4 linked regions of the Astyanax mexicanus genome follow. The protein of the gene in region 2 binds, or shares a complex with, the protein of the main gene of each other region. Links are inferred from orthologs where the notes say so. Each region holds a gene or a part of one and is shown on either strand. Other genes may lie near its edges.

The links.
Region 1: the proteins of morf4l1 (region 2) and phf12a are in contact, whole or in part, in a cryo-EM structure (PDB 8BPA), measured with the Homo sapiens proteins. The link is inferred for Astyanax mexicanus from reciprocal best matches to the Homo sapiens genes MORF4L1 and PHF12. Residues at the interface, in NP_996670.1 of Homo sapiens: Glu201, Lys204, Pro205, Leu207, Val208, Asp209, Trp211, Asp212, Tyr251, Ala252, Glu255, Val256, Gly259, Ile260, Glu262, Tyr263, Val266, Met267, Thr270, Gln271, Leu272, Leu273, Tyr274, Lys275, Arg278, Pro279, Tyr281, Ala282, Leu285, Arg304; in NP_001028733.1 of Homo sapiens: Cys62, Glu64, Gln81, Cys82, Asn84, Pro86, Pro204, Leu206, Arg207, Arg208, Pro209, Phe210, Leu212, Leu213, Ile214, Ala216, Ala217, Arg220, Asn221, Pro222, Thr223, Gln224, Phe225, Gln226, Leu227, Pro228, Glu230, Leu231, Thr232, Thr330.
Region 3: morf4l1 (region 2) and vps72b share a complex: the UniProt entries of both Homo sapiens proteins name them as parts of the nuA4 histone acetyltransferase complex. The link is inferred for Astyanax mexicanus from reciprocal best matches to the Homo sapiens genes MORF4L1 and VPS72.
Region 4: morf4l1 (region 2) and ruvbl1 share a complex: the UniProt entries of both Homo sapiens proteins name them as parts of the nuA4 histone acetyltransferase complex. The link is inferred for Astyanax mexicanus from reciprocal best matches to the Homo sapiens genes MORF4L1 and RUVBL1.

Annotation. Positions count from the first base shown.
Region 1 is NC_064427.1:4,877,409-4,885,524, reverse strand, and holds the start of phf12a (PHD finger protein 12), read left to right. Parts: upstream 1-4,999; 5' UTR 5,000-5,747; coding exon 5,748-5,813; intron 5,814-6,511; coding exon 6,512-6,693; intron 6,694-8,116.
Region 2 is NC_064416.1:24,297,017-24,305,243, forward strand, and holds the start of morf4l1 (mortality factor 4-like protein 1), read left to right. Parts: upstream 1-4,788; 5' UTR 4,789-4,933; coding exon 4,934-4,973; intron 4,974-6,526; coding exon 6,527-6,573; intron 6,574-7,377; coding exon 7,378-7,445; intron 7,446-7,600; coding exon 7,601-7,687; intron 7,688-8,125; coding exon 8,126-8,206; intron 8,207-8,227. UniProt on the Homo sapiens protein: Component of the NuA4 histone acetyltransferase (HAT) complex which is involved in transcriptional activation of select genes principally by acetylation of nucleosomal histones H4 and H2A.
Region 3 is NC_064413.1:39,939,267-39,947,367, forward strand, and holds the start of vps72b (vacuolar protein sorting-associated protein 72 homolog), read right to left. Parts: upstream 3,465-8,101; 5' UTR 1-3,464. UniProt on the Homo sapiens protein: Deposition-and-exchange histone chaperone specific for H2AZ1, specifically chaperones H2AZ1 and deposits it into nucleosomes.
Region 4 is NC_064412.1:16,297,791-16,305,443, reverse strand, and holds the start of ruvbl1 (ruvB-like 1), read left to right. Parts: upstream 1-4,378; 5' UTR 4,379-4,523; coding exon 4,524-4,664; intron 4,665-5,467; coding exon 5,468-5,554; intron 5,555-5,664; coding exon 5,665-5,797; intron 5,798-6,507; coding exon 6,508-6,659; intron 6,660-6,748; coding exon 6,749-6,838; intron 6,839-7,653. Other genes in the region: eefsec (selenocysteine-specific elongation factor), read right to left, coding at 45-674, 1,005-1,169, 1,370-1,466, 2,045-2,252, 3,160-3,478. UniProt on the Homo sapiens protein: Possesses single-stranded DNA-stimulated ATPase and ATP-dependent DNA helicase (3' to 5') activity; hexamerization is thought to be critical for ATP hydrolysis and adjacent subunits in the ring-like structure contribute to the ATPase activity.

The sequences.
Region 1 (8,116 bases), on a different chromosome or scaffold from region 2:
CCAAGCAGTTCGAAAAGAAGCGGTGGCTGGCTTCACATGTATCGGAGAAGGCGTGTGTTAGTCTTCACCCTCTTGGTGTGTTGGGGCATCACTAGTGATAGGGGGAGTCCTTGGCCGTGTAAATTGGGGAGAAAATGGGAAACAATTGAGAAAAAAAAAATTCAATCAGTATATGATTGAATAAAAAATATGAGTTTTAATTGTATTACCAAACATTTGACAGCAGATTGTAATAAAGGTCTTTTGTTTTAACATAATCTATAGATGTTCTAAAAAGTTAAGTTTAAATAAATTGTCATTTTACAGTGTAGGACTGCAAGTAAATTCTCACAGCAATGTTTTAACATCTAGTTTAAAGCTTTTCATTGATGATAAGAGTCTGATACTGCAGCAGGAATTTCCTTATAGAATAAACCTAGTTTCAGCAGGTGTCTACAAACTTTTGACAAACAGTGTTTCAGGTTTAACTATAGGCCCCACTTTACTTGTCTAATCTACTTTGATAAAGAACGTTCCAGAGTGTTCGAAAAGTCTCTGACGGCTGTGTTTATCGTTGCAGGAGACGAGACAGTATGAGGTGTCTATTTAGAGGCTGTTCAGCAGTGGCTGTCCATCTTCTACACTCCTCCTCTTCTTCTTCCTCCTCTCCTGTGACAGCTCCTCTTCTTCCTCCTCCTCTTCCTCTCCATGAGTTCCTATCCTCTTTCCCACCTTCCTCTGAGCTCCTGTACAGTATATTTTTCCTCCAGAGGACCTGTGTAAACACTGGAAACATGGTGGACAATATAACGTTATTTTTGTAGCGCTTCAGCAACTTCTACCTTTTCTTTTCTTCTTCTTTTTTTCTTTCAAATGAGCACAGAAAGTGTGTGTACAGAAACATAAGAGGGACAATATCTATCAGAGTGCTTTTCAGGGTCTGCATCCACAGGAGATGGATGTGCTCTGGACCTGAGAGTGAATGAGTGTCCAGGCCAGGGTTATCTAACTGAGCCACAGCGACACTCTGAGACCAGTGTTAATACCATCCTCACTCAGTCTATTTACAACATTGGCACCATTGAATGTCTGCATGGGGGTTCTCTTTCCTAAACACTTTGTAAATAAACTGACTGTTCCAAACCCAGACGCTTTGTGTCTTTCTTGCAAATCATCTGTGAAGAAAAAGCTGGAAAAACAGGTAAGTAGAGTTATAATAGTGATAAAATGAGAAATAGCCAAAATGAAAAAAAAAGATGCAGAGCTTTCAGACCTCAAATAATGCAAAGAAAACATAAGTGAGTTAAGAATCAATATTTAGTGGAATAATCCTGTTTTTTAATCACAGCTTTCATGCATCTTTGCATGTTCTCCTCCACCAGTCTTACACATTGCTTTTGGATAACCTTAAGCCACTCCTTGTGCAAATATTCAAGCAGTTCAGTTTGGTCTGATGGCTTTTGATCATCCATCTTTCTCTGGATTATATTCCAGAGGTTTTTTTAATTTGGTAAAATTAAATCAAAAACTCATAATTTTCAAGTGGTCCCTTAATTTTTTTCCAGAGCAGTGTATATATACGGATTTTGATGTAATGATGTAATTATAAGAATTCGGTAAGTCACAGTCTGACTTATAGTGAGAATTTAGTAGATATAGGCTGCTTGCCAAGCTACAAATGCAGCCAATGTTTCAATTGATTTGAAGGAGGCAACTGATGTATCCTTCCTGGCTCTCGGTTACCCACAATTTACTGCACACATCAAGGAGAAACGGAAGGAACAGCACCACAAAAACTGGGCAAAATTGCATGAAAACAAAGATTATGTTGCTCTGTTATCTTATTCCAATGTTCTATCTAATGTCATTCCAAGACCAGCCCCCTATTCCTCGACTGCAGCCTAGAATATTACATCACAGCTTATATATAGCTTATATGTACTATAGATACTCGTGAACTTGTTTTCTTTGCATTATTTGAGGTCTGAAAGCTCTGCATCTTTTTTTGTTATTTCAGCCATTTCTCATTTTCTGCAAATAAATGCTCTAAATTACACTATTTTATTTGGAATTTGGGAGAAATGTTGTCTGTGGTATATAGAATAAAAACAAGAATGTTCATTTTACTCAAACATAAACCTATAAATAGCAAAATCAGTGAGACAGTGCCTGCAGTTTTCAAACACCTTTAAACATACACACATTATTAGAAGTGTGATTTTTCTTTTCAGCTGGAAACTCTACAGAGGCGTTAGAGACTATTGTGGCTCCACAGCAGGAGGTTAATAGGCCTGTTTGCAAATGAAATCGTGACGGTTACATTTGTCATTTTGGCTCCATTACCTCTTTAAAAAACGTCAAACAACTGTACATAACAACAGAAGGCTTTAATAATCCACAATTAATTAATGCAATAAAGTATCATCATGATACTCTGAATAAAGCAAAAACCTTACTTAGAGAAGATACTAGGTGTCCAAATCTGTTGCTATATTTCTTCTTTTTTTTTTCAACTTTAAAAACATCAGAAAAAACAATGTTTTGATCAATATTGTGTTTCCTGAAGTGATATAAAGATGTTATATCTGAAGTATGGACTCTTTGGGAGGTGAAAAGCAGCAGTTGCATGGTTCTTTTTAAAAGACTGCCCTCAAGAGGACTGAGCTGTTATAACAGGAATATCAAAACTAATAGGGTATACTTACAGAATATTAAATGTCAATATTCAATGCAGTGATTAATGGGAAGTTATTAATATTATATAAAATAATAATAGTAAAATAATTAGTCATAACTAGCTTAATTAAGCTATCATGATGCTTTATTGGGTTGAAAGACACTGATCTGTACAGTATATGAAAAAAAAATTAAGACACTAAAAAGAGAGTGAAAAATATCTGTCCAATATAAATAAAATGTTCGGATTATGTTTCTGTGCATTATGATAATTGTGATGACTCATGTGGCGCAGTAATCCCTGTGTAAGCTTGATGTGGGTTCAAAAAGAACTTCTTTTATCTTTATATGTCTGTCCTGTGTTATTTATTTACATAATTTGTTCTCTACATCACGGCCATTTTTCATGATGAATTTATTTGGAATAAAACCTTTTTACACTGCCTTCATCTCTTATTATATTGATAATTATAAAGAACATTTTTTTATATACTTACTACTTCTTCTTACACTTTTGACTGAATTAAGCATCACAAAAGTAACCTTTATATTTAATGGTAATAAATGGTCAGATATGTCCATAAAATAAGAGTCAATATGCATAAAGTGTTAAAGTATAAAAAAAAGCAAAAATGTTGGAAACCCTAAATCCCTTAGACACCTTCATATCTTTTATTACTGTCATAATTTATTGTAGTTTCATACACCCTAAAACAGAAGTCTGCATATCGACATTGTGGTGCCTTGTCGTAATTTCATAATAAACTAATAACACAGAAATGTAATTAAAAAGTGATGTGCACTTAACTTAAAAACAATAGTAAAGTCTGCTAATTTGCATAATAAAGCAATACTTATATAAATAATTACAAAGACCATGTTTTATATTTTTTACTACTTTTTATTGAACTTTTGACTAAATTAGGCACCCAAAATTTCAAATTACATATTTATTGGTAATATTTACTTCCATTCAATTTATATTTAATGGTAATAAATAGTCAGATATATTACTTTGTATGACATTTTGACTGAATTAAGCACAACAAAAATTACATTTCTGTGACTATAACATTATTAGGCATTCTTACTAATATTAGCTGCTAATATTAACATAATTTGTATGCAGAATCGCAATAATGATCAATTAGAAACGATTTATTGTACCGGCGGCTAAACCGGCGGGTCTCCTCGCTGTAAAAGAGCATTAATAATAAGGTCGGAAATCCGCGGTAAATATAGATATATATACTCCAGGGTGAGATATCAGACGACCTTAAATGACTTTAATCTGTGTATTTGTTTTGGCAGCGGCTGAACACAGAGACCCGTTACTAACAAAACCCGCCGAATAACGGAAAACTACAGCACAGCGACAAACACACACCCTGCAGAGCTACAGCCGGGACTACTACAGCTCACACTGTCCCTAACACACCGATAAACTACACCATAACGCTGAGTTTAAACCCGGTAAACAGCAGCGCGACAGCGGAGACCGAGCAGTTCAGAAAATGCCTCCTAAACGCAGCCAGCGCTCAACCTCCTCCAAGATGGCTCCGAGGCGGCTGGGCGACGGCGCATGCGCAGAAAGGCGGTTCCACGCAAGTTTTGCGCCAAACGGGGACGGGGAGGTCGATTCAGTTTAAGGAACCGATTCTTTCTAGTTGCTTGGTTCAATGAACCGAATGAATCAAACCTTACTGTCAACGATTCGTTCCGTTCATGTTTATTTTTCGAATCTACACGGTTAAAACTACACGTAAATAAATATATTATATATATAATAATATATATATATATATATATATATATATATATATATATATATATATATATATATATATATATATATTATTGTATGATTTATATTAATATAAATAAGTCTGAATACTAAAACACGGACGTAAACATGTAAAAATGCAATGTGTTTGATTAATGAATAAACTCAAATAAAAATTGATCACAAAAAAGTATCTGAATATTATTTTATTCTTACTATATTATTGCTTTATAATATTGTATTTATTTTATTTATGAATGTTTTTATTTACATTTGAATTACAATTACTGTTTACTATGTAAGTTAAACTATATAGCATACATAATATAGCTATAATAGTTTGATTCAGTTCCAAATCAAATCGAGATTGTACACAGAACACAGAAAAATACTTTTTAAAGACTTAAAATAAATTATTCCATCAGTATAATTAAAGTATCCATTCCAAATTCAGGGAAAATTTAGGTTTTAAGACTCAAAATATTATTTTTCCATCTTTGGGGCTTCGTAAGGAATCGACTCGCCCCGCTTTTATTGAAAAGATTTGGTTCAAATGAACGACTCGCTTGCGAATCGGACGTCGCTTGTGTGGAGGATGTCGCCGTTGTCGTCGGGTTTGCTTTCACACATGATAACAATGATCTCGCCCGTTATCTCCGGCACCGTTCTGCTGCTGGCAGGCTGTGCTTAGAGCCGCGGTCTGGTTTCTGTCCCCCGGTTGGGGCCGCACGGTGTTCTCGCAGTGATGGAAGCGGCCGCTGTGGCGCCTTTATCCCGCATCTTTGCTGGCCGCGGTCAGAGGAGGAGGAGCGGGCAGCGCGCTGGCTGAAGGCCTCAGTTAGGCCCGCGGCTGTAGGATTTCTCGGGGTTTGACTCCGGGCAGAGCTTCTCCTGCTGCTCGGCGCTGTTTTAGGAGTTTTCCTGTGTTTACCTGCTTGGAAATACACAATTTGGAGTGTGTGGTGATTTCTTTGCGTGGCTGCGGGACTGGAGCTGAGAAGCTGAAACGCTGGAAAGCTAAGAAGCTGATGAGCTCGGGCTGCTGTTAGCACAACATTGGCATTGAAGAGACTTAAGAAGAGAGACGTGTGGGTCTGTTTCTTTCTGTGGATACCTATAGCGTTTACTAAGCGCTTGGACGGAATTTTTAGAAACTTTTTGAGGGGATTGTCCGGCTATAACTGAGCTGGACTGCATTTTCTTTCTGGACTGAGCTGGCTGGGTAAGCTAGCGCTAGGTTAGATAACCTAGCTAGCTTAACTAGCTTAGCCTAGCCTATCCAAACGCTCATTAACCTCGACTTGTTTGAATGTGGGATAAAATGGAGACCCCGACAATCGTGTACGACCTGGACACCTCCGGTGGGCTGATGGAGGTAAGCAGGGTGGCTTAAAAGCTGCAGAAAATTGAAGAGTGTGGCTTCTTGTATCTTTGTTTTTTTCTTACAGTGTACTAGGGATTGCCCGGCTGCTAGCTAGGTTAGCTTAGCTCAGCTCGTATCTAACGTTAGCTAGCTGCTGTAGTCTAATCATTAGCTAGCTAGCTTAGCCGTCACCCTAACATCTTAGGTTAGCCAGCGGTTAGCTAGTTAGCTAATCTTGCTAAGCTATTTCGCTGTATTTTTCATTTATATCTCTGTTTAAAAAGCGTGCCATCACTCTTGGTTTATTGGTTTATTTAATGATAAGTAGCTACATTCATGGTTAATGTTCCCTAGGCTAGCTAGTGTTATCATCCGCTAGCTGCTACCCGCTAGCCTGTGTTTTTGGGCCCAACAATGGCTGACACGTCTCGATTCAACCCGAGCAGGGTGGACGCCATAATATGGTTTTATTTTTTTCCCCGCTACCATGACGGTTCTCCCTCTCATAGCTCAGCTATCACACTACTAAGATGTTCGTCTGCCTGTCCCTCTCGAAAACTTCGTTTTTAATCAAATCATACGCAGCAGACAGTTTAGTTTGGGCTCTGAGCGGGTTTTTAGCGCTGGATGGTTGGCTCAGAGCTGCTCAGAAGTGCTGCGGCTCGATCGCGCCCAAACCCCGCTAAACATGCCTCTCTCCTCCGTTTCAGCAAATCCAGACTCTGCTCGCACCGCCCAAGTCCGAGGACTCGGAGAAGAGGAGTCGAAAGCTGGACAGGAGCACCAGGAGATCCGGCCGGGCCACCAACCACGACACTTGCGATAGTTGTCGGGAAGGAGGGGATCTCCTCTGCTGCGATCACTGCCCTGCTGCCTTCCACTTGCAGTGCTGGTGTGTACACACACGACCAAAAGTTTGTAGACTGTAGTCCTGCTCATCCTGGTGTCTCTACAAATATATGTTAACACACGGTGTTTTGATTCTCTTGGATATATATACACAAAATATTAGAACATTATAAAGACTAGTCAAGTCAGGTAGTTTTATTATCAATACTGCATATGTACAGGACATACAGGGGATTGAAATTACTTTACCCTCCTTCCCCAAGTTACTGCAGGTACAGCAAAGTAAAAATTATAAATAATAAAAAATGAAATGATAGACATTTAACGTACAATATAACAAGGTCACAGATATAGACATACATGAGACAAGAGACACAAGACGAAAGTGCAAATACAGAGGTGTGTGTATATAGAGGAGAATCTTAAGGCTGGTAAAGTAAATGAGTGCATACAGTTGTTTAGATTTAATGTTTCGCTATGGAGGATATGTCATTTGTGACTGATTATGGTAACGGGTTGTCTAGGTGAAATCAGTTGGTGCAAAAAGAAATACTTCCAGACAGGCTGTTGGTCCATTGTAGTGATTGATGGCAGAGTTCACTTATTGTAATAGATTCCTGTCAGATACATTTGGTGGTCCTGAGTAAGTCTTTCCAAACTTTCCAGAACTATGTTTGACACAGTTGCCACAGTTGCCTTTGAACTGTCGTTCACCAGATGTGAACTGTTTGATGGTTGTCTTCGCTTGTTAGCCACTCAGTAAAATGTTTGACTGTGTGTAATCAGTGCAGGGCTGGTTTATTTGTTTTGCAGGCCAGGCAGAGGAGACTCATTTGGTTGTCGCTTGCCTGTAAAGACTCCCACATGATGTTGTTGATGAGCTAAAAAAAAAAAAAAGAAAGCGTTCGCACCTTGATTATCTTTTTGTAGAATCCTGTAAGAGTATAAGAGTAAGCAACGATGCAGGTCGATTGATTTATTTATTTTCCTAATTGTGTCACTATAAAATCTGGTGCACAGAACAAGGCATCTGATGTATTTTTATTATATGACCATGAGCAGACCCTCATATGAGTAAGTGGAGTAAGAATTAAGAGTCTCACTTTGGTGGCCTGTAAATATACACTCAGGCTCAGGACAAGGATAGCTGGACGGTATAAATAATCATTAACCAATATGCTTTGCGTCCCAGGCAGCCGCAAGTTCTGGCTCTAGCGTGCGTTATAGAAATACCAGACTAAGAGAATAATAGACAGACAAAGAGACAGGGCCTTCCGCCTGATTTGTGGTTTTCTGCCGCAATTAACTTATTAGAAATGCAGCCAGGCTCTCCTCAGAAAGCTCTAAACAAACTCTTAAAGCAGTCAGACTTTTAAAACAGTCTCGTGGAAGAAGAGACTTCGTGTCACGGCTCTGTGCACAGTTGGGCTCCAGTAATAATTGTTCGACAAGAGATTTAAGATTCT
Region 2 (8,227 bases):
TATGACGATTTTTATAGCAGATATGTCTCCAGTGTTCAGGCACCGTATGATTTATAATAAAAATATTTAAAACGCAGCATATTAGAACATGCTCCTAGCATAAGTGTAGGTGGGCTTTTGGATATACTATATCACTGTGTTAGGATAAAGTTTAATTACGAGGCTGAAGTTGGTTTGATATTCGCAGCTCCAGATTCGTTTGGCTCGATATTCGCAGCCTCGTATTCCCCGGCTGAAGTTGGTTTGATATTCGCAGCTGCCGCTTCACTGAACCACCGTGAACTAAAGGGAGCGTTCACAAACACCCGCTGTTTATATTAAACACCTCACAGATCAACACTGAAGGAGATAGAATGAAGAAAAGCAGTACATCTGTTTATTAACAATGGAAATATACAATATATTATTAAATATAATTTTATATACACGACCTTTCATCACTTATTTTCTCCAGTTTTACTTACAACATGAATTTGCTTTTCTAGTGTAATTCATTCATTTCCTGAGTAAAAAATATCTGAAATAGAGATTTAGCCTCCTACTTTCAAGAAAACCTGGCATTATCCTGTCCGGAGCCAATTGTATATTGTAAAATATTTATTTTAATTACTGAATTTATAATTATATATTATAATAAGTAATAAAAATATATATTTAATAAAATTATATTTTAAAAGCCATTGCGCTCAAAAAATATGAGGCAGATGTTCAAGTGTGATTTTGAAGAACTTTTTCATGTTGGGCCAGAACAAATACACATGATCTGAAGAGTACTAGTCTTCTACTGTAAGAAAAACCTGGAATTAGCCTGGCCCAAGCTGATTTTATACTTTAAAATGAACTGCCAACATGGAATACCGATCCATAAAGCACAATTTTTTATGTAAAGCTGATGTTCCAGTGTGATTTTGAAAGACTTTTTCATCTTGGGCCAGACCAAATACACATGATCTGAAGAGTACTAGTCTTCTACTTTAACGAAAACCTGGAATTAGCCTGGCCCGAGCTGATTTTATACTTTAAAATGAACTGGCAACATGGAATAACGATCCATAATGCACAAAAAAATTGAATATAAAGCTGATGTTCTAGTGTGATTTTGATGGACTTTTTAATCTTGGGTCAGAACAAATACACATAATCTGAAGAGTACTAGTCTTCTACTTTAAGGAAAACCTGCAATTAGCCTGGCCCGAGCTGATTTTATACTTTAAAATGAACTGGCAACATAGCATACCGATCCATAATGCACAGTTTTTTTTATGTAAAGCTGATGTTCTAGTGTGATTTTGAAGGACTTTTTCATGTTGGGCCAAGATGAAAAAGTCTTTCAAAATCACACTAGAACATCAGCTTTACATAAAAAAAAATGTGCATTATGGCTCGTTATACCATGTTGCCAGTTCATTTTAAAGTATAAAATCAGCTTGGGCCAGGCTAATTCCAGGTGTTCCTTAAAGTAGAAGACTAGTACTCTTCAGATCATGTGTATTTGGTCTGGCCCAAGATGAAAAAGTCTTTCAAAATCACACTAGAACATCAGCTTTACATAAAACAAATTGTGCATTATGGCTCGTTATACCATGTTGCCAGTTCATTTTAAAGTATAAAATCAGCTTGGGCCAGGCTAATTCCAGGTTTTCCTTAAAGAAGAAGACTAGTACTCTTCAGATCATGTGTATTTGGTCTGGCCCAAGATGACAAAGTCTTTCAAAATCACACTAGAACATCAGCTTTACATATAAAAAAATTGTGCATTATGGCTCGTTATACCATGTTGCCAGTTCATTTTAAAGTATAAAATCAGCTTGGGCCAGGCTAATTCCAGGTTTTCCTTAAAGTAGAAGACTAGTACTCTTCAGATCATGTGTATTTGGTCTGGCCCAAGATGAAAAAGTCCTTCAAAATCACACTAGAACATCAGCTTTACATAAAAAAAATTGTGCATTATGGATCGGTATTCCATGTTGCCAGTTCATTTTAAAGTATAAAATCAGCTCGGGCCAGGCTAATTCCAGGTTTTCCTTAAAGAAGAAGACTAGTACTCTTCAGATCATGTGTATTTTTGGTCTGGCCCAAGATGAAAAAGTCTTTCAAAATCACACTAGAACATCAGCTTTACATAAAAAAAATTGTGCATTATGGCTCGTTATACCATGTTGCCAGTTCATTTTAAAGTATAAAATCAGCTCGGGCCAGGCTAATTCCAGGTTTTCCTTAAAGAAGAAGACTAGTACTCTTCAGATCATGTGTATTTGGTCTGGCCCAAGATGAAAAAGTCCTTCAAAATCACACTGGAACATCAGCTTTACATAAAAAATTGTGCATTATGGATTGGTATGCTATGTTGCCAGTTCATTTTAAAGTATAAAATCAGCTCGGGCCAGGCTAATTCCAGGTTTTCCTCAAAGTGGGAAAGTAGTTCTCTTCATCTGATGTGTATGTGTTCTGGCCCAAGATGAAAAAGTCTTTCAAAGTTTGCCAGTTCATTTTAAAGTATAAAATCAGCTTGGGCCAGTCTAATTCCAGGTTTTTCTTAAAGTAGAAGACTAGTACTCTTCAGATCATGTGTATTTGTTCTGGCCCAACATGAAAAAGTTCTTCAAAATCACACTTGAACATCTGCCTCATATTTTTTGAGCGCAATGGCTTTTAAAATATAATTTTATTAAATATATATTTAATTATTTATTGTAATATATAATTATAAATTCAGTAATTAAAATAAATATTTTACAATATACAAAATTATATTTAATAATATATTGTATATTTCCGTTGTTAATAAACAGATGTACTGCTTTTCTTCATTTCTTCATCTCCTTCAGTGTTGATCTGTGAGGTGTTTAATATAAACAGCGGGTGTTTGTGAACGCTCCCTTTAGTTCACGGTGGTTCAGTGAAGCGGCAGCTGCGAATATCAAATCAACTTCAGCCGGGGAATACGAAGCTGCGAATATCGAGCCAAACGAATCTGGAGCTGCGAATATCAAACCAACTTCAGCCTCGTCTTCAGCCTCGTAGTTTAATTAGAGTAAAGACATAAAAAAAGTTTTTTGTTCATTAATTATTTTTTTATTGTTATTATTAATTGCCATTTACAGTTTTGTGACATTCAAGCCAATAAAGGCAGTGATCTCAGGTATTTTAATGCGCAAGGGAAACAGAATTATCATGAAAAATAAATATAAAAAAGCTGTGTTCTTTGTTAAAATGCTTGATTAATCTGGAAAAAATAATATAAGTTAACCAAAAAGTCTCTAGACTTGGTATGTTTTTTCTCATTTTAGTCTATTTTCCTTACACTCTAAATTTTCCTGCACTTCTCTTTTGGTTATATGTCCCTTTCTCAGTGTTAAATCCATCCAGTCCAGTCCATCTACAGGCGCATGCGTGTACTTACAGCAAGCGTTTAAAGTCAGTGCCGGTGTTACAACTGCGAAGTAGCGCCCTCTGTGGTCACAAAACCCGACGGTCACAGAAAACGGTGTAACATCGGTTTATGGAAAGCTCTTGTCCTCCGTTATACTTTACAAAATAACTGCACACCGCTAGAGGGAGTCAATGAAGCCAATTAGCTAAAAACTCAAATAAATGAAAAATAGTAACTAATCACTTGTCCAGGACATCGCTTTAATATTATCAAGTAGTTTCAGACAGTAAAGACCTGAATAATTAGCATTACTGCTACTGAGTGCAGACTGGTTGATGAGCTGGTGCTGGAAATATGGAAATACAGTTAGAGCAGATTTTAAAATGCCCAGAACATTTGAACATTTTAAAGGACCATTTTCAGTATAAAAATGTATAAGAATGCATTGAACAAAGTCAATATACTCTCTTTCTTAACTGTTTTTATATTTTTAGAGAAAATATATCTTATGCATTTTTTTTTTTTTAAACAATACATAAAAAACCCGAATAAACTAATGTTTGGAATAAGGGTATCTTTTTAGCGAATATTCGTTTGTGTATAAAAATGTACCTAAACTTATAATTAAATTTACTATACTTGTAGTCAGATGAAGGGTCATCAAAAAAATACAATATATACTGGAATTTAAGAGGAATTTCCTTACCCAACCTCCTCTTCAAGTCTTAAAAAAGAGCAAGACAATACACAAGAAAAAAAGTGTTTAATGGACTAAATGTGGCTCCTTTACAAAAAACTCCTCACTTATATATATAAAAATACACAAAATAGCATTAACCGAGTAGCAAGGTTTAATATAGCAGTTATTTTATTTTATTATTGAGAACATATAATAAAAGTCAAAATAAAACGACTGTTTATCCTTTGTTGAGCTGACCATTTAAGGTACTTTTTAATTTGCTAAAATGATACCATTATTCCAAACTTTTGTTTATTCATATCTAAATAATTATATACACTCACTGACTAATTTTCGACTAATTAAAAAAAAAATCATAAATCCATCGATATTTTATTTGAATCCCACTTTTCTTTTCTTTTCTTTTTTGCTTTGTTTGTTTATTTGTGTTTTTGTTTTGATGTACTTGTGATGCTGATTGTACAGGATGTGTATTTGACCTATTATTGTGTCTATTTTAGGCTGTTGGACTGTATTGTCCTATTACATTGATTCAACATTGGGGTTTATATTTATGGTTTGTATTAAACTTTACTTGAATTTTATGTTTATATATACTGTAAACAAGAAATAAAAATAAGAAGCATATATGACCAGCAAACCATTGGGCTGAGTGGGGAGCGCCCTCTGGCGGTGAGATGAACCCGGAACACGCTCTGAATCGGTGCAGATCCTTGTTCCTGTTAGGTCACATGTCCAGGGCGCCAAAATAACGCGTCAACAGAGAGCCGTAGTGCGGCGCCTTCACCGTGTCTGAATGAACCCGGAGCTGGCGATGCCTGGATTTGATTTTCCAGATATTTTTATTGTTTAATCTGTGAATGGCGCCTAAACAGGACCCTAAACCTAAATTTCAAGAAGGTAAGAGCGCTGCGGGGCGCGCCGTGCGGGGCGCTGCTGCTGCTGCGGGGGGCTGTGCTTTTGTTTGTGCTAATGGAGAGAGTCGCACAATGGCGCTGAGAGGAGCTGAAACACAAACACAGACCCGGAGAGAACCGCGGCTCTCAGGGATCAGAGGACTGGGGTCCGGGGAGCGGACAGGGTTATCAGCAGGGCCGCGGGTCTGTCTGGTATCTGCGGTGTTTCGGGTTTAGATGAAAGCCTCTGGGAAATAAGGCGGGTTGTCTCTCTGTGTGAATATGACCTATAGCTAGCGTTAGCCAATCAGCTCTCCCCCTGATCCACTACTACTACTACTGCTGCTGCTGCTGCTGCTTCAGCCACCAACTAAACTCTAATAGAATAGCTTAGCTTGCCTTAACATAATATTATGTCGCTTTAAAGCTAATTACATTAGCAAAATATCATGTAAGCTATTTTGTTTTTACAAGGCTTTCCAAGCTTCCTAAAACATCACAAACCAAGCTTGAAAATGTGTGGAATACTGACATTAATGAATTCTTAGATGATAAATCTGTAATTTATTATAGAATAGCATAATATTTTTACTCCAAGTATGAAGATAAGATGTTTTCACATGGAAATGCTATTACACAAAATTCATTACAGTCCTTGCAATGTACATGCTTATGGACTTAATGTTTCAAATATGTGTTAGAGATTCTTAGTTATAAAATAAGTTTCTCCATATGTTAGTAAATTCCTTTATTTGTTTTGAAGATGTTTAACAACATGGTAGTTAGTTATAAGCTAAAAATAGCACAATAGCAGTCTTGGCAATAAAAGCCTGTTCATTTCCAAATGTGTTGCGACGTTTGTTACGAACATGCGTTTGTGGGACAAGCGGTAGAGCTGAGTATATGGGTTATGATAAATAAAAAATGGCAAATCCTTTCAATTAATTGTATAATGAAGAAATGGTACAAACTGGAAGTCCAACCTAATTAGCTAGCTATTAGGTTTGTTATTTGGGAAATGTATTCTCAGTTTACTTAAGCTACAGCTATTTTGTGAAGGCCTCATATGTTTGTTAGAGAACACTAGTGACACATGGTAGTTTAAGAAAGATTAGATAGCCCACTGTTAAATCCATCATCCAAAAATGGAAGTAATGTGGCACAGTTGCAAACCTACCAAGACATGGCTGTCCTGGCAAGAAGAGCGCTAATTAGAGATAAGAGCCCCATGGTCACTCTGGAGGAGCTGCAGAGATTTCACAGCTCCCTTATGGAAAAGTAGGCAGAAAAAAGCAATTTTTTTGAGGAAACCAAAAGAAGTCCCATAGAAGACACAGCAAGCAAATGTGGAATTGTGAGAGCAAATGTGCTCTGTTCAGCTGAGACCAACGTTGAACTTTTTGGATTAAATGCAAAATGCTATATGTGGCAGAACACACAACAATCCTGAAGAAAAACCTGTTAAAGGCTGCAAAAAAAAAGTTGTTAAAAGAAAATGCAGTAAGGGTGGCATGACCTGGCCTAATGTTGTCTTGCTTTTTTGTGCCTTTATTTCAGGTGAACGAGTGCTGTGTTTTCATGGGCCATTGCTATACGAAGCTAAGGTAACTTTTTCTTTATATTATTTTTCTTCGGAAAATCTGAATAGATAGATTGAATGCAACAAATTGTATGTGACCAAATACACCATTTACTGTCGTAGCAGAATTAAACAGTGTTTGTGGGCTGGTCTACAGCACAGTTTGTTGTTTTTCTTGCTCAAACACATTTAATTAAGCTGCTAATTGTAAATGTAATGCCTGGCCCAGACTAGACTATAGGATCTTCACACAATCTTTCACCAGTCTTTTGTCTTTAATCAATGTTAGTTGTAAACCTTCTCACACTACATGATCCACCCCGAATAAAAGCACCACACAGAAGTGGATAACAGCAAAACAATTTGTCAGTGCTTCCTGCTTAAAACAGTAGGTTAACACAATTTAAGTCCAACCTATGTAGTCTATAATCTCAGCTCTCTTGGTTGACAGTCTTCACGTTTCCCACCAGACAATCATCATCATCATCCTCACTCTAAAGGTTATTGAGTCATAAATACAAAAAATGTTTGCCACTTATGCCTCACGATTGGCACAGCCCCAACTTTTCTGGGAAAAGATCAAAAGATCAGAGAAAATTGGTCAGATTATCCTGTGGTGTGGGCCGGGCAATAACAGATTTCAGGTGGGATCAAACCAAACTAAGCTGAGCACCAACACAGACCCTGTCCTGAATATCTCTACAGCACCGATATTTCCGGGTGCTGCACCCCAAGTGTTGATCATGTCAGTAAATCTGTTTAGCCTGTTTAGCCATGTGCTTGAAGTTTGTGTGGAAAAGATTTACCTTATTGATCCTCTCTTTTACAGTGTGTAAAAATCAATATTAAGGACAAACAAGTGAAATACTTCATTCATTATAGTGGATGGAATAAGAAGTAAGTATTCTCGTGTTTGTTTTGATGTCAATAAGAGATTCTGCTGCAGTATTAGCAGATTGATTGTTAAAATATTGTTTATTTATTAATAAAATAATAATGCATTTTATTTAATAAGTATAAAGTGCTTTATAAATTTGTCCTGTTTTTTAAAGCTGGGACGAATGGGTTCCTGAAAGCCGTGTGCTCAAATATGTGGACAGTAATCTGCAGAAACAGAAAGAGCTTCAGAAGGCAAATCAGTAAGTTTCTTATGGCGCCAGCTAAGAACGGCAGAAAACGTATTTGTATTAATGTTAAACATTCAGTTCACATTAAGACACTCTTTTTTTTTTGTCATACCTCCTACACTTACATATAGTTTTAAACAAAGTATAAACATTGATTTCACTTCTTTTATTTAGATTATTTAGACTCTCTTTGTTAGATTTCTAACAATGGTGAAAAAAATAACTATTGTTATTGATGGCAGTCAAGACAAAAAGCTGTATGTTTAATTTGTCTTTTTTATATTCAAGTAAGCATTTATTTTTGAGTAGAGTTTATTAGGTTTCAGTACACTTGTTTGGTTTCTCACTTGTCACATTATCACTGTTTGAGTTTTCTATTGAGAACAGTTCTATTTGTATGATTTTTCCCACAGTGTACTTTTTTTTTACTGTTACTTTTGTTTTTAATAGAGACCATTATGTTGAGGGAAGGATGAGGGGAGTCGCACCAAGCAAGAAGATAGCTGCTGTGCAGCAAAAAAATGTTGATGTGTGAGTTCCTCTTGATTTGAT
Region 3 (8,101 bases), on a different chromosome or scaffold from region 2:
GACACTGAAAACAGAAAAACAAACCATAAAAAACACTGAATGAATTTATATAGATTCCCCTCTCACATATTGAAACTAAATACTTTAATTACCCAACTTACAGTAAAGCAGAAAGGGAATTCCCTTTCTGGGTAAAATTTACGGGGATCTTTGGTTCAAAATCTAAATCTAAGGTAAGAAGATGTTGTATCTGGAGAGGACATAAAATAAGTGTTGCTATAAAATAAGGATGGACTTTCCTCAAACCCAACAGAAACAATGGCATTTAGAAAATGATATATCTGTTGGCCCATCAGAATTCCCCATGAGATCAAGAGGTATTTTTTTCATTGGCTGTGGTGGATCATGCAGTATAATTCCTGCCTTTGTTAAAAAGAATGTGGTCTGCTGAAAGAGAGGCCTTGTCCTTGGTGAACAAGGACGCAGTGTTGATTTGAACAAACATTGCTTGTCTCCCACTTTTCATTCACACATTCACATTCAAGGAAAAAAAAAAGTATTCCATTTCCCTAAACTCACGAAAGAACACACTATCCTAAACAAAGTTTACACATCCTGTACGGCGCACAATGGCCGCCGGTATGAGTCCTGACTATTTTATTAGCTTTTTGTTATATTAGGCCTTTCTCAAATAGAGCTATGAGCCATGCGGTGCTCATCCAGGTTTGGTTACATTTGCAGTGTGCAGATGCAGAGCGAAAAACACCTAGAGGGTGCTGGGTTTGAAAGGGCAGAGCGGTGTGGCGTGCAGTTTCTGCGTATGTCATACCCAGAAAGATTGTTATCGGTCATACATGTTTGTTTATTTGTTTGCCTTTTTAAAGCTCATTTGCATGTGCAGCGATCAGTCATAGCATTAGCACCACCTGTTTAATGCTGAATAAGTCGCCCTTGTGCCAGCTTAACAGATCTGACCATTACAATGGCCTCTAAAAAAGTTCTGTTATCTTGGCAGCAGATCCTTTAAGTCAGCATGCCTGTATGTTATGAGGTGGGGTCTCAGTGAGCTATAGGTGTGCATGACCCTATCATCAGATTATTGCATGTCCTCTCTCAGACCACTTTTGATGGGTAAACTGACCACTGCATACCATTGATATTTTTGTAAGATTTGACCCAGTGGTTTAACTCTTTTTTCATTTTCTCGTTTTCTTAACCCTGGTCAATGAGGCTCACTGTATTGCAAATTTTAATGTTTTTTCTGCTTTAACATACACACACTCTAACTTAATAATGGGCTGTTCAGTGATTATTTGGATCTGGAAGCACTAAAAAACCAAAAAGTGCAGGGGAGTGAGTCACCATAAATAGTGTCAAGAAATACTGGTCTAGCCAACACAACGTGTCCCATGTCACAGTTGCTCAGATCTTTATGCTTACCCATTTTTCCTGTTTTAACGCATTTCCTTCATTGATTTGGTTGATGTATTCCACAGCTCAGTTCACATGACAAACATTATGCAGCTCAATGAGCAGTTAAATGAATGAACTCAGCTGAATAACAGCTGGAAATGTTCTCTGCTGTTTGTCAGAAAGGTGTAAACAAGGCCATCAACTCATATCAGTTCAACTCAATCAGTTCTTGGCTGTACCTCAAGGAAATTTAGGGCACTTTTAAATCTGCAGTAACCAAATGCTGCAGGAAGGGAGTGTAGAGGACTAGAATGAGACACCCCACACTAAAGCCTTGCAGACTTCACATGCACACAATAATGAAGAGCACAGAACTGCAAATGTTTCAACTGCTAAAGTTTCCCCAAACATGAATCTGTGCCTATTGCTTAATGTTCCTAGAACATTTTAAAGGTATATTAAGAGCAGGAAACCATAGGACTATATTCACTGACTCACTGTGAAACCTCTGGATAAGACATTGCTGCTGCTTTGTTGTTATGAGTATATTATTAACACTGCTTTGAAATGATCTGAAATCACAGTGAATGAATCAGGCTTATTGAAGTTTACTCTTTAACATTTGTTGTAGTGTGGAGTTTGATCTATCTTCCCACGCAGCAGCTTGTATAACTAAGGTGTGTCAGACTCGTGCACACAAGAATGAAGAAGAAGTCTCGACTCGTTTTCATTTATGTAAAGATATGCAGGGAGTGCTGTAGGTATGTGCCAGCAACGAACCAATTAAAATGCTCCAAAGACCAAAAGATCAGACTGAAACGAGTCTATAAGGAACTCCAGCTGTACATTCTATTTTTCTAGAACAATGTACTTAAATTATCTTGAATTAAACTTTTAGAAGCTCTGCCATTGTAGGGTTAAAATGTTCTATTTATCTTGTCCTTTGTGGAGAAAAGGCAGTTTCGGTTTTCCTGGTAGAAAGCCTGAGATTGTCTGTTCCCACAAAAACAGAGAGCTTTGTCCTCAAAGGGACGTATTTGGTTACTTATCACTTTGAAGTCTCCTCCCCACATTCCTCCCCACGCTCTCCCTCCCTCTCTCTGTCTCTTTTTCTTGCTCTTTCTCTGCAGAACATCTGCTAGAACCACGGAAACAAAGCCTTCCTCACATCAAAAAATTTACTGGAATCAAGGACAGAAATAAAACAGAAAAAAACTGTTGTTTTAAACATTAGAAAAGTTTACTCTGAGGCAGAGTTTTATGAATGAAGGCCTTTGTTTTGGTTTCATCCAGGGTGGTCTGTCTGAACCCTGGGCCTTGAGTGTCTCAACAGGCCCCCAGTTACATAGCTGTGAGATGGAGTGGGCGATGATCTCACTGGTCGGGTATGTGTTGTTGCTGCTGTTGCTGATGGTGAAGTACAGGGAGGCCTATTACACCCCCACCCGCATCTCCCCTCTCCCCTCTAATAACAGGACTGGAATCCAGACCACATGCTCTGAAGTGAGTGAGGAGGAAATAGAAAGAGCATGACTTGTACTGTTTCATCCCATCATGCATCAGATCAAAAGGTGGGCCTGTGACATATGTGGTATATATGGTTGTGTAACATTCAGCACTCATCTTCAATGTCACATTCACACCCGTAATAGGACATTAGGCACAGTTTTTTATTTAGCTAGAGTTGACCACACTATCAGGATATGATGATGTGGGAGGAGACTGTGGGAGGAGACTGTAAGAGGGACAGAGCAGGAGGCAGGAAGGCCAGACCCCTTCTGATAAGTGGAGCTAGGACTGAGAAAAATGACTAAGCTGAAGGGATGAGAGAGGCTGGTGGTTGGGATAACCTTTTTTTAGTTGATTTTTTTTCACGTCACTTCTTTTTTTATATTAAAATGTGTGGCATTAATAACAAAATATAGGTATGCACCAAATATTAGGCAACCGAAAATATCCAACTAAAAATGGCAAAAACAAGCACTTTTTATTTAAGTCAATTTATTATTATAAATAAAACTGCTTGGTTAATATTTTGCACATTGTTGGTTTGTCTTCTGAGACATTTACTTGTAATGATAATATAATAATAATAATAATAATAATAATAATAATAATAATAATAATAATAATAATAATAAAGAAAAAGAAGGACAATTAACAGTGTTAAATTGGCATGAAATAAATATAATAAAAATAAAATGTATACAAATAACACATAATTTTACTACTGGTGCACCATCTGGGAGACTGGGGTTCAATTCCCGGTCTGGGTGACTATTCTGTGCTACACCAAGAGGAGTCCTTGGACAATACCTCTAACACTGGGTTGTAGAAGGACTAACCTTGTAAGTCGCTCTATAATACAAATAAAAAAGTAATTTCTGATAAAACTCAGTCAAGTGATATAGTAATGAAACAATTATAATAAGGAATGCAAAGATTAACTATTATTAATGTATAAAAGTGAACTCTTCAATTTTCATCACTCACATTTATAATACATAAATGATGCAGAATATGCCACCTCTGAATGATCTACTTTGTCATTTACAATTACCCGTATTTCCTGCTTCCTTCCTTCCTGCCCAAAAACAGCATTAATCAAAACAAAGGAGACAGGTGTTTATTATTTATCATCTTTAATCTCCTGGACTGCTGAAATGAAGGGATGGGACACTGACGTCAGCCTGTGGTTTGACGTACCATAAAGTCTACTGGTGAAGGAGTGGAACATTCCTACTGATGCACAGTCATAGTGGCAGTGTGTTTTGTTGCTGCCAAAACACTGCTGTGAATGACTGCGTCATGAGTTTACATAAACATAATTGTGAAGAATTACTTTTGGTCCATTAGTCAAAAAATGTTTACATATAAAATATAATGACTGCTGCCTTTTTCAAGTGTATAAAATTGTAATAATAATTGACATGACAGTACTGATATGCAGTGCGTCATTCTGTCTCATTTAGGAAGGTTCTGCAACATGAAGATGATGAGATACAGGGTTTTTTCAAAAGATTTCTTCATAGTCTGTCTCAAGTTAGAGAACAGAATTGCTTCATGCTTCCCTCTGTGACACAAGTTGTACAGCATACATGGCATACCTAATGTATGTTATTTAAACACAAATTCACAACATCTCCACATTTAAAAGTATTTAGGATACTATGGTTTGCAAAGAAAGTTCAAAAACTGTTTTTTTTTTTGTTTAACACATTCTTTTCTTTTATCTTTTTAGGGCAGATTATCTGGTCGGTGAAGTCAAAAGGATGGCATCTCACGTAAGGGCTTCATGCCAAGGCACGCTGAGATTTAGGGCTAACATACTTTTCTTCTGTACATTGTGTCCCTGCCTAAATAACTCTGACTCATGAATGGCTGGCTGCAACCAGCTATTGTCTATCCAGCTGTAAAATGCTACATAGATTAGTCAAACAATCACTGGCCTTCCATGAACATCATCATTAGACAATGTAAAAATTGTAAAAAGACTGGACCAAATCCTGATCATACAGGATTACTTTCCCAGGCAGGGATTAAGCTTAGTCTTGTAATACACAGCATATTCTGTTTAGATCTAGACTAGGGGAAAGAGCCCCACAATGTTTAAACAAAGCAGAGCTTATCCTGAAGTCAGTGAAGTTTGATGCAAATATTTTCAAAGAATTCTATAAGAACAATATAAGCACAGCTAATGCTTTATGGACTGGTTTGAATATCAAAATTTGCTTTCTGTGAACAGATTAACATGTAGGCAAACATGAGGATTTTCTGATAGCCAAAGTTAAATAGATGTTACTAGAAAACTGTATGCTTACCAGTTTAGATCAGCCTATCCCTTACTTTATCTTTACAGTCAATGTCTGGACGTTTTAGCTGCCAGACATTTTTGCCATTTTTAAAGGTTTTTTTTAGAATGTAAGCTATTGTGTTGCAGTGTATTGTATTGAATGCAACTTGTCTAGCAGGAAATGTTTAGCTACACCCTTAAAACAAACAATACCAGGTTGTAGGCTCGATACCTGGATTTGTCTCACTGTTGAGCAAGGCTCTTAAGTGGCCACTGCTCCCTGGGCACCTCCCCATCGCTCCAGGCATATGTTCTCACAAAACATGTATGTGTCTTTGAAGTGTATTCACTAGTGAGTATGTATCTGTTCATTGCACACACTAGTTGCAGTAAATAATACATAAACATTTTATACTTTTACCTGACATCCAGTCTAAAAACAATATGTATAGTGTTTATGACTTGATATTTCATCATATAGTAGGCTACAAATGTTTTTACAGGAGCTGTTTACTTATTATTGTAACTGTTGTGCTATTTATTACATGGTCTTGCATGAATAGACATGCTATATTGTCTGACAAAAACGTTTGGTTTTTGCTCAGTAGATAAGGGTTCAGTACAATTGATTTTTCATCAGCAACTCTTTACCACAAACACCAATACTAGCTCTACCAATACAAACTCTTTTTATTGGCTGTGGAAACACAGTTCAGCTTGAGGAACATACACCTCTGTCAGAAGTCTGCCAAAACCTATTTGAGGACTAATAGTGCCTAAGTTAGAGTTGTTATGCATAGGTTCTCTAGGTTTAAAGGTAAAATTAATCTTTGAGTTTTCATTTTAGGATCTATCAGGGAGTTCAAGTCAAGTCAATAGTCTTTTGTTGCCGTTTCATCCGAGTCCAAGTACACAGTGCAATGAAATTACGTTCCTCTGGAACCATGGTGCAACATGGAACAAACAGTACAATATAGACAACAAAGTGCAAACTTGCAGCAAATTGTGTAACATAGAACTAGAGTTCTCAGCATGCTCAGTTGCATTCTTTCTGTTCCTTGGGTCGTTTAGGTTTTTTGTGATTATTTGTATTTATTTTTATTTTATTTGTGGTGGTTGCAATGGTGGAGCATTTTTCACCCTGCTGGTGTTAGTGTTAGGGGTGAATAAGGGTCTCTATCAGTGGGCTGCCATTTTTAAAAGAAATATTTCAATAAAGTTGCTGGGACTATGGAGCTATGGTTTAGCCTTGTTACTTTGACCCTTCCCACACTGATGCTACAATACATTGTGCAGGTCAAGAGCTGGTAAACCAGCTAGCATACCAGTATAGCAAATCTTACTCAGCCGTATAAACAGCCAAATATAAGCAAAGTTAACTCGTGTGAAACACTGTGTGTGTGTGTGTGTGTTTGAAAGGCAAACACTGAGCTTTGCTGCTGTAATCTGATGGAAATGTAAATCATTTTAGATATAAAGTTCATGGAAATCATTAAAGTAGTTAATGTGATAAACCCTGCTTGCAGATAACCTCTAACATTCCTCCTTCCCCTACACCCGACTGGCGCCACAGATTTGAATGAATAGGTATAGGAATTAATCTAACCCTTGGTTATTATGGAATGTATAATGATGTTTTTATATATAAAAAATAATTGTAGTAAAAAGTAGTCATTCTTCATCAGGACACTGCTTACAGGACGCTGCTGGCTGGATATTCCTAGTTAGCGGATTATTCTCAGTCCAGCAGTGACACTGAGGGGTTTAAAAGCTCCAGCAGCACTGCTGTGTCTGATCCACTCATACCATCACAATCCACACTACCAACACATCTCCACCTTGCTAGTATCACTGCAGTGCTGGGAATGACCCGCCACCCATATAATAATAGCTGGTCTGTGGTGGTTTATCCTCTGGGGTCTTGACCATTGAAGAACAGGAGTAAAACAGGATAATAGAGAAACGGAAGAACTACTGTTTGTGATTTATAGGACTACACAGTCCTCGTATGTGGTAAATCAAGCTAATGAAATAGACAAAGCATGTAGAAACATGGAGGTGGTGTTAATAAAGTTACTGTTAAGTTTGAATTGAAAACTTTATTTAATGATAATTCTCTATGTTTTATTTAAGGACATCTAGAAGTGTGTACATATACGCTTTTAATTATAAAATGAAACCACACTTCCTAGCAGACGTATACTACTGCCATTCTCTCCGGTTAAAAATAGTTGCAATGTGGTTCAGTGACACAATAATTCAGCATTAACATGTCACACAACGTGCAGTTTACTGTATACACTACATCATGAGGATGACTCTGTAAACAGTGGAGCTGTGAACACTATGGAAAAATACAGATAGCAAAGCAGTTAAACTGCCAAGCAGGTGCACACACACTCACACACTCTGATATACACACCTGCAGTTCTGCTTATTATATTGAGAGCATAGACAAACACAAGGCAAATACACGCCTTTTCATTGGAACTATTCATTTGAATGCAGAGAGGTTGATAGAGAACACATGGTAAACATTGCTGTGGATATACTTCACAGTGTATTAAACCATAGTTGGTATAAGTTGGTGTGTCCTTCTTTGTCTTAGTAATAACTTTAATAAAACAGCCTAGATTAGTGTGGTGGGTGTGGCTCTAATACTTGCTGGCGTGTTCTCTGAAATACTTTATTTGTCTTTACAATATGTTCTGCGTCATTTTGTCTTCTTCTGCCTTTTTCCGGTCTAGTTTCATTCATTAGGATTTCAGACAATGGACCATATAGATGTTTAAAAGGAAACACTTCAGTAACATTTCAACTAACCATGACAAAACCATGATTTTTAGCTATTCCTGTCTCTTTTATCTGCCTGCATATCTTTGTAATTGTGATGTTCCATGTAACTATTTCACTATGGTGGTAATCGTCATTCATTACATTTGTGTTAAATGGCTT
Region 4 (7,653 bases), on a different chromosome or scaffold from region 2:
TACATAGCATTTGTATGTGTCTGTGTTGGGTAAAAGATTGTTACCCGTTCCACTGCTCCCTCTTTATGCTTGTCTTTGCTTATTTTGAGTTTCGGTAATGTAGTCTCTGTGTAGTTCTTGTCCTCAAAGCCCTCCAAAAGCTTTCCATGAAATGCAAGCCTACATGTGTTAGCGTGTATGTCAGAGTCCAGCCGTGAGCCAATCACCAAAGAAAGTGGTGGACATGTTACTGGCTGCTCAAACTCCAGTAACGCCCACTGCTGTGGTTCCTTCCCCTCAGTTTCTCCCGGACTGCTCAAAAACTCCTCCTGGTGATGAAACTCCCACTCAAAGGAGAAAGAGTCCATGCCCTGCTCTGAGGGACTTCCATCTGAGGCTCCAGACGGGATGCTGCGAGACACCCTACTGAAGAATGACACACGTGCCATGACTGTTCCATGTCCAACGGTGATGTGGAACTTTGAACGGCTGCTAAGTGCACCACGGTAGTATTCAATCTTATGCACAGAAATTATGGCAGCATAAAGAGTTCGCAGGGAGCCAGGTGTGCACACCACACCACGTTCCAGCAGTTTTGGGTCAAACTGTGTCACACACACACCAACCCGGTCTCCTTGTATCGCACTAGGAACTGGCTTACGAAACATCTGTACTGACTTCACCTTCCGGGTGACCTATGAAGAACAGTAGATAAGGCAATAACAATAACAAAACAAAACACATTGTACATTTAAAATTCAAAATGTGTGTCTGGACAGCTGAACTCAATTGTAGAATAATGTGGTATATTTCTTAGTCAATAGCACTGTATTCAAAATCATTTCATACAAGATATAAGAAAAATCATACAATTTGGCAGAGATTTATCAGAAGGGGTATTGTATTAATAATTTATTAAAAATAAGCCCCCATACAGCGTTTTCGAGAGACTTTCCTGCAGGCTAAATAATAAACATTGATGCATGTGTCCTCATAACATAAATGTGCAGCATGTGCTTGTGTACCTTAAGTGCAGGTATCTCCAGTGTGTCATTGACGCGCAGCGCCCCCTGTAGAATGGTGCCTGTAATGACTGTTCCCTGTCCACGGATGGAGAAACAGTGATCCACAGCCATAAGCAGGGAACCAGATGGATCTCTCTTAGGCAGGAAAGCCTGAGTCTTTAGCAACTAAACACAAACACACAAACCTCATAATGTATAAAATGTGACACAGTCCATTAATAAGGGGTTCACATCAGCCCAGGTCCCAATACACCAGACTTAAGTTAGTCAAGGCATTTAAAATAATAGGTTGCATAATCATACTGAATTCAAAAGTATAACAAAAATGCAAATCAACAAAACCAAACCAAATGTAATAATCTAACCTCTATAAGCTCAGTAATTCCCTGTCCTTCCTCCGTGTCTGGAGCATCCGGACCCCCTGGCTTTGCTGCCACAGCAATGACAGGGCAACCTTTAAACCTAACCACACACAAAAAAAAGCCATTATTCAAAAATCTGAGAAGCATGCAGATTTAATAAGGCAAATGTTTTCTGAAGCATTATGCATATGTTTACTGACACATGGCATAGCTTTGGTAAAATGCATGTAAGGCTGAGCTCAATAACAAAATACAAACTTTTTTTCATATACATTTGTAGCATTAATAAAAAGTATAATCACTACTAAAATGTAACCACTGCTGCTCTACTGTTGAATTTACCTCATGCTATGTTAATTAGTTAATTTTGTTAAATGTTTTTTATTTAACCATCTTAAAATATTAGTATATCTTTCTGAGGTAATCAACTAAGCTCCTTCTTTCTTTGTCACAGTATCTCTTAACCATATTTGCTGCATGATATGGAATAATATGGAATGTAAAGTCTTTTCCCGTGTCCTTTATTTGTAAGGTGTGCTTACTCAAGTGTATATTATGAAGGGCATTCGAGTTTCCCATTACAAGATACAATATAAAAAGACATTATGATACTATACACATTGTTTTCCCTAAGTTTGAACTGACAATATGGGAGACTGTGTGTCTGCTGTAGCTCACCTTGTGTTCTCCAAAGTTTTGTGCATCCTCTTTGTCATCTTATCGATGGCACTCTGTTTCTTGTCACTAGGCAACAGGTCAATTTTATTAAGAATGACAATCATCCTGGAGCAGGTGAGCTGACCAATCAGGAGACACTCTGCAGTCTGTGTCTGCATGCCCTTTACCACATCAACCACTAACAGCATCAGATCAATAATCTGAGCACCTAAAAACACACAAACACACACAAGCACATATTTAAGACAAGATCAAGTACTTTATATGCAGAGAGAGAGCGAGAGAGAGAGAGAGAGAGAGCGAGAGAGAGCGCGAGAGAGAGAGTGAGTGTGTCTTTCCTTTTTCTTCCTGACACACATTCTTTACTGAGTCTTCCCGCAGGGGGAGTGAGGAAGTTTAGCTGGAACCTTAAACACCAGCCTTCCGCCTTAATCAACCACATGTGCCCCCCGAAACACACTACATCCTCGTAAATTGTCTCAACCTTCTCCTCTCACTTCCACCTCCCTCTATTCCACCTTTCTCTAAATGCATTTAGGTAAGCAAGACCTCAGAATATTCTACTTCCCCCTGAACACCCCTCCCTTCTCCTCTGTAACCACAGGGCCCCTGAAACAGGTTGAATATGGATACAGGGAAACCAGCTTATCTGACAACCCCTCTAAACTTGAATACAGATCTATAAAATAAAAATCTCAAACTACTAATATATCATGTTATAATTACAATATATCAAAAGTAACTCTGCCACCTCCTGATATTACCTGGAACTGCATGGTTACATGAACTTGAGTGGGCTCTGGACGAACAGTTGAATGAAACTTTCTTTCCTGTTTTCTGTGATATGATCTGTAGTTCAAGTTTGCAGTTGTAGAATCAGCGAGCATGTGGGTGTATATAGCTTGCCATCTATCGCAATTCAGAAAAATAAGGATTACTTGCAAAAAGGTACAAATGCAGTTTAAATAAAAAATCTAGATATTGTATGACAACTGTTTAGTGTCCCCTTAATGAGTCAAAATATAGGTTTGAATATCAGTCAAATATAACCACTGATGCAAACTTTTTCTGTCTTTAATAAATACCTAATTCCTAACCTACTGTTTATATCTCACCTCCAATTATGGTCCGTATGAGTGAGGCATGCCCCGGACAGTCCACCAGTGTGAACTGCAGGCTGTGGTACGCTCTCTCCCCGCAGGCCTCTCTAAGGTGGTACGGTAAAGGGACGGTGAAGGCGCTAAAGCCCAGATCCAGGGTGATGCCTCTCTCTTTGGACTGCGGGTTCTTGTCGAAGGCAGCGGTGGAGGCGGTGCTGCTCAGAGCCCTGGCTAGAGACGTCTTCCCGCTGTCCACATGGCCCAGGACACCCACATTAAAGTTCAGAATCTGGGGGAGGAGGCCGTCCCCAGCGTTAGCGCTCGGATCTGCCATGTGTGGAAGAATTAAAGACAGGATCCGAACGAGACACAATAGGGAAGCAGTGGACTTTGATCTAAGATGACTGTGCACTTTCAGCTTAATTCACACCAAAAAAAAGTTGTGCTGCTGAAAAACACAGATCTTGTAAGTTAGCTGGATGCAGTTTAACTCAAGCACCTCTCAGATGTCAAAAACGAGTAATTTCAAACTGAACCAACTCGAATCAACTCCCTCCTATACAGACAGTGCGCCATATCATATCGTTTGACAGATACGCTAACTACACTTCCTGCGTCGCCTAAAAAACACTACCTCCACCTACGGAACATGTCTCAGGGAATGGGACCCAAACGTAGGTAGTGGATAGTGTTAGCTAGCTGACTAGCTAAGCTATATGAGCTGCTGCTGACCTACTGCAAGTAAAGTTATAATATAATACAAGTAAGTAAATAAAATAAAATAGTACCAAAAACAAGATAGCTCTGTTTAGCTACGTATAAATCCACAAGACTGCACTTTTATGCAAAAACATCTTGACTGAGGACTTAGATAAATTCAAACGATGCTAAAACTAAAATATGCTGTAAGACAAAAAACAATGCAGAATCCCCAACATTTATAAAATAATAATAAAAAAATTAAACAAAATTTATATATAACTTAAGTTAACCTGCAGTGAAACATCTTACGTTAGCTAGCTAAAGCACGCAGCGCACAGTTATAGTTAGCTTAGCTTCTGTTTCTAGACGGATCTTTAAACTCGCCCACCAACGGAAAGGGCCAGCTAACGTTCTTCAACGTTAGTTCTTCAACGCTTCTGATGAACATCGGTGTTGACCAATGAGCGAGCAGATCGGAAGACTCTTAACCAATAGCGATAAAGAAAGAAGCTAGACATGTTAGCAGGGGCGGTGACTTCCCGAATCTCCTTGGTTACCCGCATGGAAACGCGGTCCCCCGTGTTTGCAGTCGCGCCGATTTCAACGGCGAAGCAGAAGAGCGCTGCTGGGCACGGAGAGAGCTTCTACTCGAGCTTTGATAATCACAGAAAAGAGCCATGAAGATCGAGGAGGTGAAGAGCACGACGAAGACCCAGCGCATCGCCTCGCACAGCCACGTGAAAGGCCTTGGCTTGGACGACGCCGGCAATGCTAAGCAGACCGCGTCCGGCCTGGTTGGACAGGAGGCCGCCAGAGAGGTAACTAATTAACATGGCTAGGAGAGCTAAGCTAGCTAACCTAACCAACTAATGGGGAATATGTGAGCTGACTTACTTTCTAGCTACCTAAGTAGCTTACTAACTAAAATATCATTTGATTAGGAAAACCGACGACTTGCAATGAACTAGAGCACAGTGTGTGTGTGTGTGTGTGTGTGTGTGTGTGTGTGTGTGTGTGTGTGTGTGTGTGTGTGTGTGAGAATTAGGCTAGCGTGCTAACTAATGTGTGTGACACCTGCGTCTGTAGCTAGTGTAACTAAAGGTGCACGATAATATCGGAACTTTATCGGTATTTTATTCGTTTAGTCAGAATGATTTTTTTTAGTAATGTCGGTATTTTTTTAGGTGTTTTCAGAAATTTAATTAAAGACAAAACTGGTATTTATATGCTCCTATTGTACTCAAAACAAAACTTTAGTCAGGTCTACTGTCCCAGCGTTTTGCTCACTGTAGCCTAGATAACCTAGCTAACATACCTTATGTACTAAATAATTAAATAGCTAAAATTAGGGGAGTGTCATATCGTTTTTTAATATTGTAAACAATATTATACCCTGAAATATTGTGGTAATTAGGGGTGGGTAATATGGCACATCAGGGTATTACCTTTCCTATTATATATCTACGAGAGACAGATTATAGTTAGCTATGTTAATACTTGTGAATTGCTAGTTTATATTTAAATATCTGCAGATTGCAGTATATCTGCTGACAACCTCTTCTTCTGAGAGGCTTACTAAATAACTGCAGCTAAATGTTCCCAATGGTCCTATTTTTTCCAGGCATGCGGCATCATTGTGGAGCTGATTCGTTCCAAAAAGATGGCTGGCCGAGCTGTCTTACTTGCAGGGCCACCTGGAACTGGAAAGGTAGGCAATACAAACCAGTGGCTTTGCATAAAGACCAATGTTGATGCAACTAAGGTTGACGAGTAGTAGTTTAGTGGTAGTGTGTATAATCACCTGTTTATGCCCGTCAGACTGCTCTTGCCCTGGCCATGGCCCAGGAGTTGGGAAATAAGGTGCCATTCTGTCCGATGGTGGGCAGTGAAGTGTATTCATCTGAAATCAAAAAGACGGAAGTATTGATGGAGAACTTCAGAAGGGCTATTGGTGAGTCCCCATAATAATACATCTACTTTCACAAGTTATGCAGAATGCTGGAGAAGAAATGCTCTGAGTGAAAACTTGATGTAGAACTAATAGGAAATATGAGAATACAGTATTATTTGTAAATTGTTTAATACAATGTACTACATAGGTAATAAGTGAATAACACTAAATATGATTAAACTCATTAAAAATGCAGTCTAAAGTGAGTGATAAATGTTGTTTTATGTAAAGCCATTGGGCTTTTATTTTGTAGGCTACAGTTTTCATACCTGACATTTCTGTCCACCCCAGTCACTGAATGGATTTAAGTTTTCAAGAATATTGATACAACCTGCAAATTCAAATAAGAGATTTGGAAATTGTTATGGTAATATTATTTGTGTAAAAAATGCTCCTAACACTTACAGATACAACAATATCTGTCTGTTGATATAACCTGTCATAAGAGAGGAAATGGCGTAAATAATCTTAAAGGGGGAGAGAGGCATGCTGTACGAGGCCATAGAGAGTCCATTATACTGCTGTCAACATGCCCTTGACATTTGCCCTTTGCTTTTGGCTCACTCATATTGAGAGAGAGTTACTGAACACCAGTAGGCAATATGCAGAAAAAAAAATTGGTTACTGTGTTACCAACACACTTTGCTCCAGAACATCCAACTGCCACACCAATATTTTACATTGTTACATTGTGTGTGTGGTCTGTGCAGGTCTGCGAATTAAGGAGACTAAAGAAGTGTATGAAGGTGAGGTGACTGAATTAACGCCATGTGAGACAGAAAATCCAATGGGTGGCTATGGGAAGACTATCAGTCATGTCATCATCGGCCTGAAAACAGGAAAAGGAACTAAACAGCTGAAGGTAAAAATTAAATCTAAAACACATCTTTGTGGTAATGTGAGAGATAATATTTGTGTATATACCATGTGCTCTATTTCTCTGTGCCATAGCTTGATCCTAGTATCTATGAGAGTCTACAGAAGGAGAGGGTGGAGGTTGGTGATGTCATCTATATTGAAGCCAACAGTGGTGCAGTCAAGGTAAGGACACACACAAGCTATTAGTTGTGTTTTTTGCACACTCACAGCACACTCTTGGTGTGTTGATGTATCTTTTAGTCGGTGCAGGTGGGCAGGCAGTCTGGCAAAGGATTAAAGACAAGACTGTATTTCGTAGTGCTGACAGACCTTTCAAGGTCCCTATACACACAAGCACAGCCACCTTGTGGTGCCATTCCATTCAGGTTTCTAGCATCATATTTGTAGGACTTGCTTTCAACAGCAATGCTTTAACCAAAACAAGGTTAGTACTGAGTTCTGAAGTCATTCAGAAGTTTTCTCAGAATTTGTGGAAAGATTTATTATTTTGATCTGTTTTACTATCTCTGTTTTATAGATTTTAAGATTGAATAAATTATATGATGCTTTCTTATATTTTTCAATATCCAGTATTTTAGTTGTTTTAAAGTACTCTTCGTTTTAGATGAGCATATAAAAGGAGACTTATTCTCAAGCTGCCAAAAGCACTGTACTACCCAAAATGAAAAAATGCATAACACTCAGGTGAGAAGCTGGTTTATAAATGTCCAATACCTGTCTCATTAAAACTAAATAACTGTATTAAACCATATTTTTTTCATAACTGATACAAAATTAAGGTATTCATGAAAGAAAAACTATTAACAGTTTCACAAACGCAAGTGGTCAAAAACAAAGGCATGTAATTAATGTATATTCATTCTATACAGATTGAATTTTTGTCTCCTGATGTTCATTAAGCATTGTTTGACAATATACCTGATACTCATTAATACTGATATACCATAAATTGCCAGGTGCTAATGCTAGTCATAATG